Drosophila melanogaster: one gene and its partners. The protein of the gene in region 3 interacts with the protein of the main gene of each other region in a pairwise test. Each region holds a gene or a part of one and is shown on either strand. Other genes may lie near its edges.

Region 1 (2,856 bases), on a different chromosome or scaffold from region 3:
AGTGGCGTACCCCAAAAATCACCTCAACAATCTAAGTTAGGTTCTGACTAATGTAAGCAAATGCGTATTTCCTATCGATAAGATTGCACAGCTTTATCTAGCGTTGAGTTGAAGTAACTCATTGATAAGGTTTACAACAGGTTTATATGCATGATTACTAATAGTTCAGCGTTCAAAATAAAAACAAAAATATTATTCTTGAACAAATGGAATGGAAAAGAGCCAATAAATCAAAGATATGCTCAGTTAAGAATTCATGACATTCGACTAATACGATAAGCCCACGTATTAATAAAGAATCCAGTGATTGATTGACTGATTGATTGATTGTTTTCCTAGTGAAATATTAGTAATGACGTGTTACCTCAAGAATTTGATAGTACCCGAAAATAAGCTATCATAACGCACCTAAAGAATGACGACTTTTTCAATGGATTATCTTTATGACGGTCCTATGGGAATTCCAAAAAACCGTCCTTATCTTATTAGGCGCATATATCATCATACTCGAAATGGGATTGTTTGTTGGCATAGAAGCTACAAGTAATAAAACTTGAATCACACATAGGCGTGACTAACTAAAGTTAGTTTATATATTTAAAAGCAGCATATTTTTTAATCACACACAAATGTACATTTGTTGATATCACACTATATTAACCGATCTAGATTACAGTTCAGTTCTTATCGCGGATGCATTGGAGGTCCTGGGGCCACGTATCCTGGACCATATGGATACGGACCATGCGGCGGCGGAGGATTGTAGCCGGAGCTGTTTCCGTGAGGAGGTTCGTGGTAAATCGGATGCACTGGCGTGTGGAACGGGGGCTGTGGTTCATGGTGCGGAGGTCCATGGTGCGGTGGTCCGTGGGGCGGTGGCCCATGAGGCGGCGGGTTGTGGTGGTGGTGCGGTGGTGGAGGAGGCATCTTTGCTTGGCGGGCTTCTGTTGTACACTAAACTGGCTCACTCCTGCCAGACCTTTTATACAAAAGTAACATAGTTTCAGTAGGCTGTAATCTTATCTGCATTCTAGTGGAGAGGGACTTTCTTTTATATATAATTGTCTACCTTATCTGCTGGCTTTTTGATACTTAATCATACTTAATCAATTCTTGCTTCAATATTCTTCTAATTGCTTATTAGAATCAGTATCTTTATAATGGTGTTATAAAATTAAACAATTTCTAAAATAAAAACATTTTGCTCTTGGTGAAACTAACTAGAAGTTAGTGAAGATATTTTAATGTTAGTTTGTGGCTTAATCACAGTTAACGATTAAGTTTTTCCATATCAGTTTATAACGTTAAATTCGGCTTATATTGTATTATAGTTCTCATCGAGGATGCATTGGAGGACCGTGGTGTGGTGGTCCATGATGATGGTGGTCGTGGTGCGGAGGTCCATGGTGCGGCGGTCCGTGGTGTGGTGGCCCGTGATGCGGTGGCCCGTGGTGTGGAGGACCATGGTGCGGTGGCCCATGGTGGGGAGGTCCATGGTGTGGTGGCCCATGATGATGGTGGTGGTCGTGGTGCGGTGGAGGTGGCATCTTGACTTTTCTGACTTTAGTTGAGTACTAAGCTAAAGCCTATCCTGTCAAACCATTTATAGGAAAATGATTCGAATACGTTGTAATCTTATCTAAATTTCAGATAAGACGAGCCCAGTTCGGTTGATAAGTAAGTTTCGGGTTTTCCCACAACAACACTTCGCTCAATAAAAACAAATGTATGACATTCGAAATTAGTAATAACAAACAAGCGAATTGTTTACTGATATGTCTATATGTGACTTAAAGAATAAGTTAATGACGACTTTGCATGTAGTTCATAAGTACAACAATATGGAGATGTTATAATATTTTATTTTTGTAAGCAACAATCAGCAACAATCAGCAACAAATTCTTAAGCTTAGTACGTTGCACTTAGGACGTGTATTATAATTTAAAAAGCATTTAGATCTTCAAATCATATGTATGCTTTGTTCAAATTAATGGAAGCTTAGAATGCATTAAGCAGTATCACCAATTCAAGATCATAAACATTGAAGATATAGAAAAGAGTAGAGCTATGTATTTTGTACAGGCTTTTATTTCTTTGGTTTGAAGAGTTTTTAAGACTTTCTATTAGAAACTAAGTTCCCTAAAAAGTATCCATCTTGTTTTGTTCTGTATAAAATTGAATCTTATTTATAGTCCTTGTCCATGGGCCTAGTGATGTCCGTGATGGGGCTTCGGATCTCCGTGGTGAGGGGGATGCGGTCCTGGTTGGTGATCCCCAGGATGCGCAGGACCCTTCGGTGGGTGCGGTTGGTGGGGCTGGTGCGGTGGTGGTGGCATGTTTCCAAAGCGATTTCCGTTCTGAACTAAAGTATTACCCCGATTTCCACGCTATATATAGTGACGAAAGACTGCTGGAGGCATTGGTTTTCCCATTAAAACATTTTATCAGCCTGTTTTGCGATAAGGTGAGTACTTGGTGGTCATATCGGAATTTCCCTATGACAACGCAACGAGAAAATCACACATCTAGCTTCCCTGATTTTTCAATCGAACAGGATTTGTATATTCGTATGATCTTTTGAAGTGGGAGGAGTGTGCATTCTTGTATTCAAATTTTTTATTGTATAAAATTTTCTCGTGAACAAATTATGGAAAAGAATCTGTGGAATACGCTGCAGGAAGTCGAGCAAGTCGAGGTTGCTTTTAAGCAGACCTTGAGAAACATTACCGATATCCAGAACCGATACAAAACGGTTTCGGCCTTGAAGAGCAAGGCCTCCAGGCGCCAGGAATCCTTCGAGGCGGAGATCCAAGGTGCCATTACAGCACCCAATCCTGCCAAGAAAAGGAGGGTGG
Region 2 (5,048 bases), on a different chromosome or scaffold from region 3:
GTCGAGGCGTTAAAGGCCATCATCCCAGCATCTATATATGTATCTATCTATCTGCTTGTATCTCAATATCTGGCTAATCGCCGACAAACAACAACACGTGCCTCCCTATCAGACTCTCTTTCACACTTTGTTAGCGCCACCACATCTGTGGATTAATTAGCTTCTGAATCACAGACTGCACGCACTTGAAAAGCGCATTTTTTATAGCATCTTTTAAAGGTGCGGAAACTCTGATACGTGTACCTATATACAACTGCGATCTTAGAGATGGGTCAATAAAGATATTAAAGCTATTAGATAAACTTTTGACATTTTGGTGTGCTCGTACAAGGAAAAGATTATATCACAATCTACACATTGTCATTCGCTATTATTAGGAATTTCTTTAACAACTTAGGCAGATAAATTAATCAGATGAATTACAGCCAATCAAAGAAACCAAATATATCAGTGCCACTTTTTTGACCGCAACTGTATGGCAGACCGCTGAATGAGATTAACCCATTTTCCCGCTAATGAACGGTGCCCATTTGGCGGGGGAATGGCTTTCAATAAACCCAAATAGAACCAAACTCATCGACAGCTCATGAAATATGCGCACAGCGTGAAAAGAAATGGCCAGAAGCACAAAGAGAGTGAAAGAACGGTTAGGCGGTCGAATGCAAATTCTCCTGGAATTTGGCCAAGTAGAAAATAGGTTTAGTTTTTGGTTAAAAAGGTAGAGTTACAAAACAAATTTATTGCTCGACCTTTTTTTTTTGGGGCTTAGTGCAAGCTCATTTGTTGTTTTGCCAAAATGTAAATGAAGTCAACGTTGTCGGCCGACTGACTGACATTTCCCATTAGCCGATTCGGCCACGTTATATTGTCTGCAGATTCTGGCCATGGTGAACTTTTGCCTAGACGGATTTCAGCACTTACTTCTTCTCCTTCTTCTTCTTCTTCTTCTTAAGGCGAAGAACCGCACTTTACAGGGTCTTTTCGACGATTGTTTACATTTATGGATGCATAATTGGGTGGCATGCCAGCCCCCCCTCACCATCTACCTAAATGTATTTAAATTTTGCCCACTAATTGACTCCCACAAGCCCACAAACTGCAAAGATGATGGGCTGAGAAGTTGGATTTGAGTCTGTAACCGAAGCCCAATGAAACTGCAACTCATGCCGATAGCAACTTCCTTCCTTTGCCTCTCGAGCTCTTCATCACTCACTCTTCGCTCGGATATAGTATAGTGTATATATACTATACGATTTATATATATATATATACAAGTGTCGGGGCAATTGTCGCATTCGCAATCGCAGTCGGAATCGGAATGGCAACACCTACTGCACATTTTAATTTAAGCTTTTTTTTCGGGCCGCCCCGTTTTCAGTATTAAATGCATTTGTTTTCGAAGGCGTGTTGGCAGTCTGAAACTCATCCATCTGTTTTATTCAAGGCTATGTGTGAACTGAGAAAAATCGTTCTCAAACCGAAAAAAAATCATGAAACATGAAACTAGACCTTTTTAAGATTTTAAATGAATTGCCATTTATTTGAGGTTTCATTTATTTCTTACTTATTGCCAAATATATATGAGTGCTGAAACAATTATTGACAATTCTTATTTATTGGCTTAAAGCCGGCAATATACTGGTTATAAAAGCCAAAAATATATGGCATATTTTAAAGGTCACATGCAAGTGTTTTGCATTTTGTTAATATCAGGCCATTAATTAAAATAAAATTGTCAAAAAGGCTAAATACTTTTAACAAGAATTTCAAAGATTAATATATTATATATTTATATGAGATTTAAATAAGCCAGACTTTAATAATTTTTAAGCATCAAAACAATGGCAACAGCTTTTTTCAGTGCACATGTATCAGAAAAAAGAGTTTGAGAGATGAAGAGCCAGAAAAAGTTGCTGAACCCAAATTAACTTGACATTGTGCTGCTAATTCAGCACTAATCTCTTGAATTGATGGCAAAAAAGGAACTATTTACGAAACTGAGACGTCTCAAATTGTATAATATTCAAATATGAATACGCAATCCGAGGAGGAAGCCGAAAAGCACAGCAGCAAACGCAGATGTTGTCAACCTTGAGAGCCAAAGCCGTGTTTTCAGCTCGCATTTAAATGAAAATGAAACTGAAGTGTAGCAAACAGCAAACACCAAACAGAGCGACCAAAAAAAAAAAAAAAAAGTGCGTAAGCAGGAAGTCCAGCCGTACAGTTAAAGAAAAAGTGGGCAATTATGAATGAAAGATGCTGAGCACTGCGTTTTCCTCCAGGAAGGCGCAACAGGTGCAAGGGCTAGGGTTTCTCTTCGTTTTTCCATGCTTTTTTCGTACTTTTTTCCTGCTTTGCATGCGTGTCTCTTGGTCTCTGCGAACTCACCTTTCTGCTCAATTACTTTTGTTTTTTTTCTGCAGTCGCTGGTGTTGCTGTTGCTGCTGCTGTTGTTGTTGTTGTTGTGACGAAACTGTTGCAAAATTGCTGATATTTTCCCAATGATTACGTATTCGCAGAGCGACGACGAGGAAAAGTGCTTGCCCCTAACTGTTGTTTATTTCTTTACGTATATGTATGTACGTATATTTCATCAATGCTGCAACAATGATTTTCTATTATTATTTATATTGATTTTGTAATTGCCTTTTTGCTACAATTGCCGTTTGCTTTTCACTTTATTAATTTCACTTTTTCGATGCTGCTGGGCTGTGTGGAAACGAGTTTGCCATAAATTGTAATATTTAATTTGGACACGGGTATTTATGCGTCTTTTAAACTCGCGCGACAGAAATTTCTAATTCGCCAGCAAATTAATGAATTCAAAATTGTTGCTATCTCGGCATTTTGTGAACGCACTTCAATTGCATAACGGCGAAGACTGCGCGCACAAAAATTCGTGATGATGACGACCTTTTTTTCCAGCAGCTTCTTTCTCTTCTTTCTCAGTTTGTTTTCTTTTTTGATAATATTTTTTATTGGCTGGGGATTTGCTTTTCTTTCTTAGCTGCACTGCCGACGAGCCAGCGAACCAAACGCACTCGACGACTTTCGCGACTCGACTGAAGAATCGAAGGCGAAAAGCAGAGCCGGGCTTTCGTGGCGGCAGAGCCGAGCTTACCTGGCGGCCTTACCTGCCTTTTTTCTTACCGTAAGTTCGGTTACGTTGCTTCGGTATTTCTTTTACCTGTCTTTTTTTTTTCTTACCTTGTCGCTTCATGGCTAAGTTGGCTTAATAGCGTTTAGCGTGTCTAAAAGCTTGGCGAAGCTTTTTTGGAAAAGAGTTCCTACAAGAGCGCATTTCTAGCTCTTCGAATGGGCGCTCTCTTAGGCAGCTCTTTTGGGCTGCATTTTTGTTGAATTCCCAGCAAGATTTGGTGGTCATCAATCTCATCTCCCTGCTTTCTACACCTTAATTACATCATCGGCATATGTTTCTTGTCGTTTTTTTCTTCTTTTGCTTATCCAAAATGTTTTAATTTTTATTTATCAACTCGTTACTTAAAAGCTTTTAGGCGAGATTTTTTGGCAGGCCTAACGGTTCTGGATTTTATATTTGTTTTTTATGGCCGATGCGCCTCTTATTCTAATGGCTTTCTGAAGGTCAATCGAAATGTCAAACTACCTGCGGTTCTACAACGCCCGCAGATCTCTGGAATTTATGTGACAGGCAATTAAAAATCTGCATTATACAAATAACACCGCTGCAACAAGTGCATGAGCCAAGAACTTGTCCGAGTTAGCCGAGTCTTTTTCGCAACTCGTTTTGCGGGCAGAAATTAAATTGCAAAATCACCAGGCGCAACCAAAAGTGACACGAGGCAAATGCACTAGTTCCATCAAATTGAAATGGTATTAAAACCATTCTGCTGGGCTTGTAAAATGCAAAAGACAAGACACTTTGGTAGAATTTAAATTTTGAATACCCTATGGAAAATAATAATAAATATTCGGGTCAACGATTTAATAGCTTAATATTTTAAGACAATGTACTAGCACAAGCAACTAATTTGAATAAATCACGCAAACAGAGCACTATAGTTGTTTAAACTGATATGAAGAAGATTAACTAGAGGCAAACATTTTTAAAAATTTTATATCACCACTAAATCCTTGTTTATTGCGTTCAAAATGTGCTTAAAATATACACTGCCTGTGTATATAGCGAATAAAGATCGTGAGGCTGCTGATGATGACGGACGGGCCCAGCAACAATGCTGGGAATGCTGTCTTGAAATCCGCAGCGCGTAAAATTATAAATTCATGTCGACGCAAGCCCAAGTTCGTTGCCTAAGTCTTTTGTTTTGATACGACTGCTTGCTGCTTCTTCTTGCGCATGTTTATCGATAAGAAGCGCACAGAGTTTCCCATTTAATTTGTCTAAGCAAATATGACTTCATTACGTGCCAAAAAAAAAAAGGAAAAAATTCCGGTTCGCATACATAACTCATCCCCAACTAATGACACCGTTTGTATAGCCAGGCAATAAGAAGTTTTGACTACTGGCGTATAAACATTTCGCTTGGGTGCTAATTACGGCCAACAACAATGGGAGCCAGCATAGAGTCTCGGCCAGCAATCAAGTTTAATTGATGCTATTATCAAATTATGAGCATTTCCAGTGCGTTTGAAGAGGAGTAGCATTCGTAGGTATGACAGTCCGAGTCACGCGGATGGCATCATAAAAGCTGATGAAACTGCAAAGTGGGGGCGTAGCTGTCGTTTTGCATTTGCTGTTAATGCGAAGCAGTTTCCACCGTTATTGTTCATTTCATACATCTTAATATGCAGCCCGCACGGCTTTGCACTTGTTACACTTTGGTAATCCATATTCAATTACCATGAGACAACGCTGGCATCGAAAATCGCTGGTATGCGGGGGTTACATAACATTCGAAACGGCTCCAAAATCAATTGGTCGCGTTAATGAAAAGTGAAAGACCAAAGTGAAAGACGCCCATAAAAAAGGGAGAGAACCCACAGGTGCTGGCATAATTGTTGTTACTTTATCGATAGCCAATTAAAGTCAAGTTCAAGTGGCCGCACCT
Region 3 (4,872 bases):
GGCTCACACATGACTGCACTCATTGCGTCCATAAATATTTATAACTCACATTTAAATCGCGCAACAAAAGTGCATAATAAGTGGGTTGGTAAGCAAAAACGTATATTTAAATATGAATGTAGTTCCAGTTGTGCAATGAAGATGAAGCCACCATAGTCTAACATCAATTTGGATCATTACCTTTAGTGATTCCAATAATTTGCGCGGCTTTCTGACCTGTCACAAGAAAAATCCCCCAACCGGAGAAAAGCAAAACAAACTATAAACTACAAAATACAAACTACAAACTACCAACAAATGAAATTCGTATTCATATTCCAATTAGACAGTAGAAGAATAGCAGACGGAAAATAGTTAGATGGTATATGGTAAAAAGGTCTTTAATTCCGCCACATAGCCGCATAGGAAATGGGCAAAAGATGGGATGAGGAGGAGCACTTGGCCATGTGGGCGATTGAGAGCAGCAAGCCGTGCAGCACACTGAACGAAAATAAGATCGGGTTAAGAATGAAATATGATTAGGTTAAGTGCTCACAGCAAAGAAATGTATCTACAGAGAAATTATTTCAACATGAATCCCAAACTATAAATATGACAATCTTAATTTGAAGATAGCTTGTAATAATCAAAGCGATTTTCCGTGTATAGAAGATATGGAAGTCGAAAAGAAGTTGTTTATGTTAATTTGGCTTTATGCTTCGCTACGCTGATTCGCTTGATGAACATATAGCAAAAAAGAGGGCTGATTATGAGGACGACGACGACGACGACGACGATGACGATGATGATGAGGGGGCCCAAACCGAGCGAATATGGCCAAGTGCACTATGTCAAACGGAGGGGCACACGGCAAGCGGGCAACTGATGGCCAAGAAGAACAAACCATCAAACCGTCAACGCATCAAAGCGTTAAGTAATAAATGTGCAGGCAGCCAGCGAAAAGAAAGAGTTAAGAGCAAAAAAAAAAAAACAAATCCAAGCGGGCTATAAACAATAGTCGCCTGTCTTGCAGGTTGCGTGCATTTTGAACTCTGCACGAGCCAACGATCGTTGTTGTTGGCCGATTTGGCCAGACTCTTGTTGTTGCTGTTACACATTTTGGGGGCAGCAACAACCACCTACAGTCAGCGAAATTCAGTGAACCGCCACCAACGCGACGCCAACTGCGACGCCGGCGGCGACTGCGCAGTCAGCGCCACACTGAATTACATCTTTGAGGTGTTGAAAAATATTAATAATATTTTAAAATTACACTTTAAGTTTAAGACTCAGTTCTGTGATAGCTTTTTAATGGACTAACCCAGCTTGTAAGCAAGCTGATACCACTGATGTAACTACCTTTTAACTCCAGCCAGTTGTTAGCCATGTTTGTCCAGTGTTTGTGAGATAATTAATAATTTTGTCGCCAGCCCGCAAGAAACGAGTCTGCGGAGTGGACCCTGTTTTGAAAAGTGAAATAAAACGCCACTTTTTACGAACATCTAATTGTGTCCGCACCCTGGAAACCCATAAAACGCGCCATCTCCATCTCGATCCAGCCCATGGGCTGGCTATTAGCCATATGTCGCTCGCATTCAGATCGTCTGGGCTTCTTACACCTGTTTTATGTCCCCACTGGCCCCAATGTGCGACGACTGCCCCTTTCGGAGCGTCGACTGCGCCGCCCGGCGTTTCGGTGTAACACATTTTCAGTTCGTTTCCATTGTGGCAGGGAGCGCGGAAGACCAGCGAGCCAGCGAGCCAGCGCGCCAGACGAGAAGAGCTGGCGGCAGAGCGAGCTCAAGTCGAGCTCGGAGGTTTTTTTTCGAGGCAGCGGAGCGACTTTTTATTCGTTAATTAACCGTCGAGCGGGCCAGAAGTCCGAGTTGCTCGGCTTAACGGAAGTGCTGAAATCGGGCGGCTAATTGAGCACACCTCGCCTCCAGTTGACACCTGAGACACCTGAGGGAAAAAACGAATTGAAACCACTCCACATAGCTCGGGTCATAACTTTCCTCGCTGGCCGGCTGCTAATGTCTCAATTTGTTGTGCGCGTTGGGCAAGTGCAGTTGCCATTCAGCCGTGGCTGTATCTGAAAGATACAATTCGGGAGAGCTCGGTTCCTGAGTGATTCGAAGTTTATGCTAATCAGCTGTGTTGCTCCGCGAGAGGGATCATTTCGCCATAGACCCACACCCGCATAGCCAGTGATCACATAACGAAATAACGAAACCAATCAGCAGACGATCTTATCAGCGCCAAAAGAGGAGGAACACAATGTTGTTTTGGAAGAGGCGTCTTCAGCGATCGAGCAGCTCTTCGAGTAAGTCCCCGTTTCTATATGGCCAAGTTTGTGGGAATGGTGGTAATGGGGGACGGGGGACGGGACCACGCCTCCAACGATTGGGCAACAAGAAATATGATTTCGCCGGGCAGGTGAATTTCGATTTTCGGTCCAGTGACAAGCTCGAATATTTTGGCCTCGACTCATCTGCATAATTTGCATCTTAAGCATTATTTCTGGCTGTGCCCAGCGACTGGTTTATTGATTTTATTTCAGTGCTTCCCTGGCCAAGATCGTAAATTCACCCCGCTGGGCTTCATCACCCACAAAAGACTTGGACAAATACAAATGGGAGCGCGAGCCACGCGGGACATGAATAATAGCTCATATCTGGCCATCGAAATTCTCGCCGAGGTGTTCCCTTTGTGGATGACGATTGCCCAGAGATTTATGAATGGATTTAATGTGTTTAGCATAATTATGCAGATCGCCGTGTAGAAGATAATATCTCACTAGGTTTGGTTTCAAGCGTAAACACTTGGGATGGAAGTGGAAAGATTTGACACATTCACGATCAGTCGGATAAAGATTTGATGGTCTTAAGGGGCTTGGGAAGAATGGGTTTACTAACCAATATGATTATAGTGTGGTCAACACATTGTACCCTAATCCCCCACTTGAATCCCTCTCCTTCCTTTGAAAACCCATGGCCCGCAGTCAGGTGTCATAACAGATTTGTCCCGATGGCCAACAAGGTGGCCAACTGCTATCGAGCATCGCATTGAAAACTGTCCCTTTTCCCCACATTCCTGTGGTTACTCTTCGTCTTCTCCCATCCCATCCCATCTGCTCCATAACTTTCCAACCAAGTGCCGACTATGTGTCTCATTCGCTGTATCTCAGTTCTGAGCTCTCGGGGTTTATTTGGGATCAAAAACATGACTTTGACTTGTGGTAATGTGATGTTAATGACAATCATCAGCAGCGACACAAGCAATAACAACGCAGGCAGAACGAGGAGGAGCAGGAGTAGGAGTAGGTGACATCCACACCACCGCCACATGAAAGCAGTAGTCCCAGTAGTGGGTAGCCCCGCCTCCTGAGCCGCGGAGCACGCCTAACACGATTCCGGAGATCGGACATCTCTGCCAGCGACATTTATTTTATGTGCGTTCCGTTCCCGAAAGTCGTGGCCCATAATCGGCTTACCCAGAGTTCTTGGCTCTACCATACCGCAGTTGACACTTCTGGCTATTTGGTTCGCTTAGTTCGTGCCCGGAGTCTTCTGTTTTTATAGAAGCTGCCCATCAAGTTGCAGGTTTAATGGTCGCTTGTGGCCCAGTGCCGCATCGAAAAATGAGTTCGGCGTTTTGTTGTGACATTTTAATGGCCTGACCGAGCTCCATTCCCCACCGCCGAGATGGTTATCAATATTACAAAATAGTTTTCGGCTTTCGGTGGAAGCGTGCTGGATGGGATTGGAATGGTAAACAGTGTCTGGAGAATTATCTGAAACCTAAGACGATGAGCAAGGTGGAACAATTTAAATTACCATAAATCAAAACCCACAGATATACTGTGTAAGAAGTGTAGAAACATAAGTTCCAATTGAGAGTTTCTCACCGAGTTTAGTCGAGCTCTATTTGGGGCACTCCATTTGCAAGTGGCTTAATTCCCATAAATTCCGTTTGTAGATCTTTCACTTGACCGGACTGCGTCCCCCTTTGAGACCCACTTAGCCCACATCTTTGGGTCAGTCCTACACTTTCCGCGCATTCCACGAGCTCGGACCTCGAAAATTGTCTGCAAATTGCTCATAAATTACATGAAAACCGTCGCAATGCCAAAAGCTGCACCTACACCATCATTATCAGCTTGTAAATAAAAAGACTTTATCAATCGTTAAGCCGCGGGCGCAGACTCGCCATCCGGAGCCCGCGTCCGGGATCCAAGATCTCACCTCATAACATAACATAAAAGTCGTCCGGGTGGAAGGAGATGAGATGAAGATGGAGCGAAGGTGGATGCCCATTCCCATTCCCAATCCCATTCCCATCCTCATTCCAGGGCAAAACCCTGGCTCCGCTGCGGTCAAGTACAAATATTTTTATTTATGATTTTACAGATCAGCATATTGCTCAATAATTTCACCGCACCGGCAACAAAATAACTTTCAAATTACGCCTGCCGAGGATCCTCGCTTAAGTGCGCCAATTTTGAGATTATTATTGCCGGCTGCGTATGCAGATAATCGTGACCCAAAGTGCAGGAGGATGGGGTGCCCATAACTCAGCCGGTTCAGCTGGGAATCGGGAATGAGCTGGAATGATCCTCGACCAGCAAGGACTAGTGGATTGAAGCTGGTCAGCCACCGATTTAATTACTCTATTTGGCTAGTTTTTTGGGGTCGAATTTAGGTTGTCTGCGCTAGTTGGGATCTGGATTTGGATCTGGATGTGGAGTATTTGGGGCAGCTTAATATTTTCCCATAAATTACTCGGGGCCAGGAGAAAATTACTTTAAAATTTATGGCCCCGGCATCTTACACGCTGATTTGGCCCTTTTATTTTCGGCTGGCCGTTTGGTTTCTTTCTCTGGCCATCGAGCAT

Evidence for each region.
Region 1: the proteins of CG7991 (region 3) and CG5011 interact in a two-hybrid assay, tested with the Drosophila melanogaster proteins (one large-scale study listed by BioGRID).
Region 2: the proteins of CG7991 (region 3) and exp interact in a two-hybrid assay, tested with the Drosophila melanogaster proteins (one large-scale study listed by BioGRID).

What each region holds. Positions count from the first base shown.
Region 1 is NT_033779.5:1,198,931-1,201,786, reverse strand, and holds CG5011 (uncharacterized protein), read right to left. Parts: upstream 1,117-2,856; 5' UTR 928-1,116; coding exon 685-927; 3' UTR 567-684; downstream 1-566. Other genes in the region: CG43349 (uncharacterized protein), read right to left, coding at 1,335-1,547; CG43348 (uncharacterized protein), read right to left, coding at 2,209-2,337; CG5139 (uncharacterized protein), read left to right, coding at 2,649-2,856.
Region 2 is NT_033778.4:11,937,575-11,942,622, reverse strand, and holds the start of exp (expansion), read right to left. Parts: upstream 3,067-5,048; 5' UTR 2,389-3,066; intron 1-2,388.
Region 3 is NT_037436.4:1,672,866-1,677,737, forward strand, and holds the start of CG7991 (uncharacterized protein), read left to right. Parts: upstream 1-1,843; 5' UTR 1,844-2,256; coding exon 2,257-2,302; intron 2,303-4,872.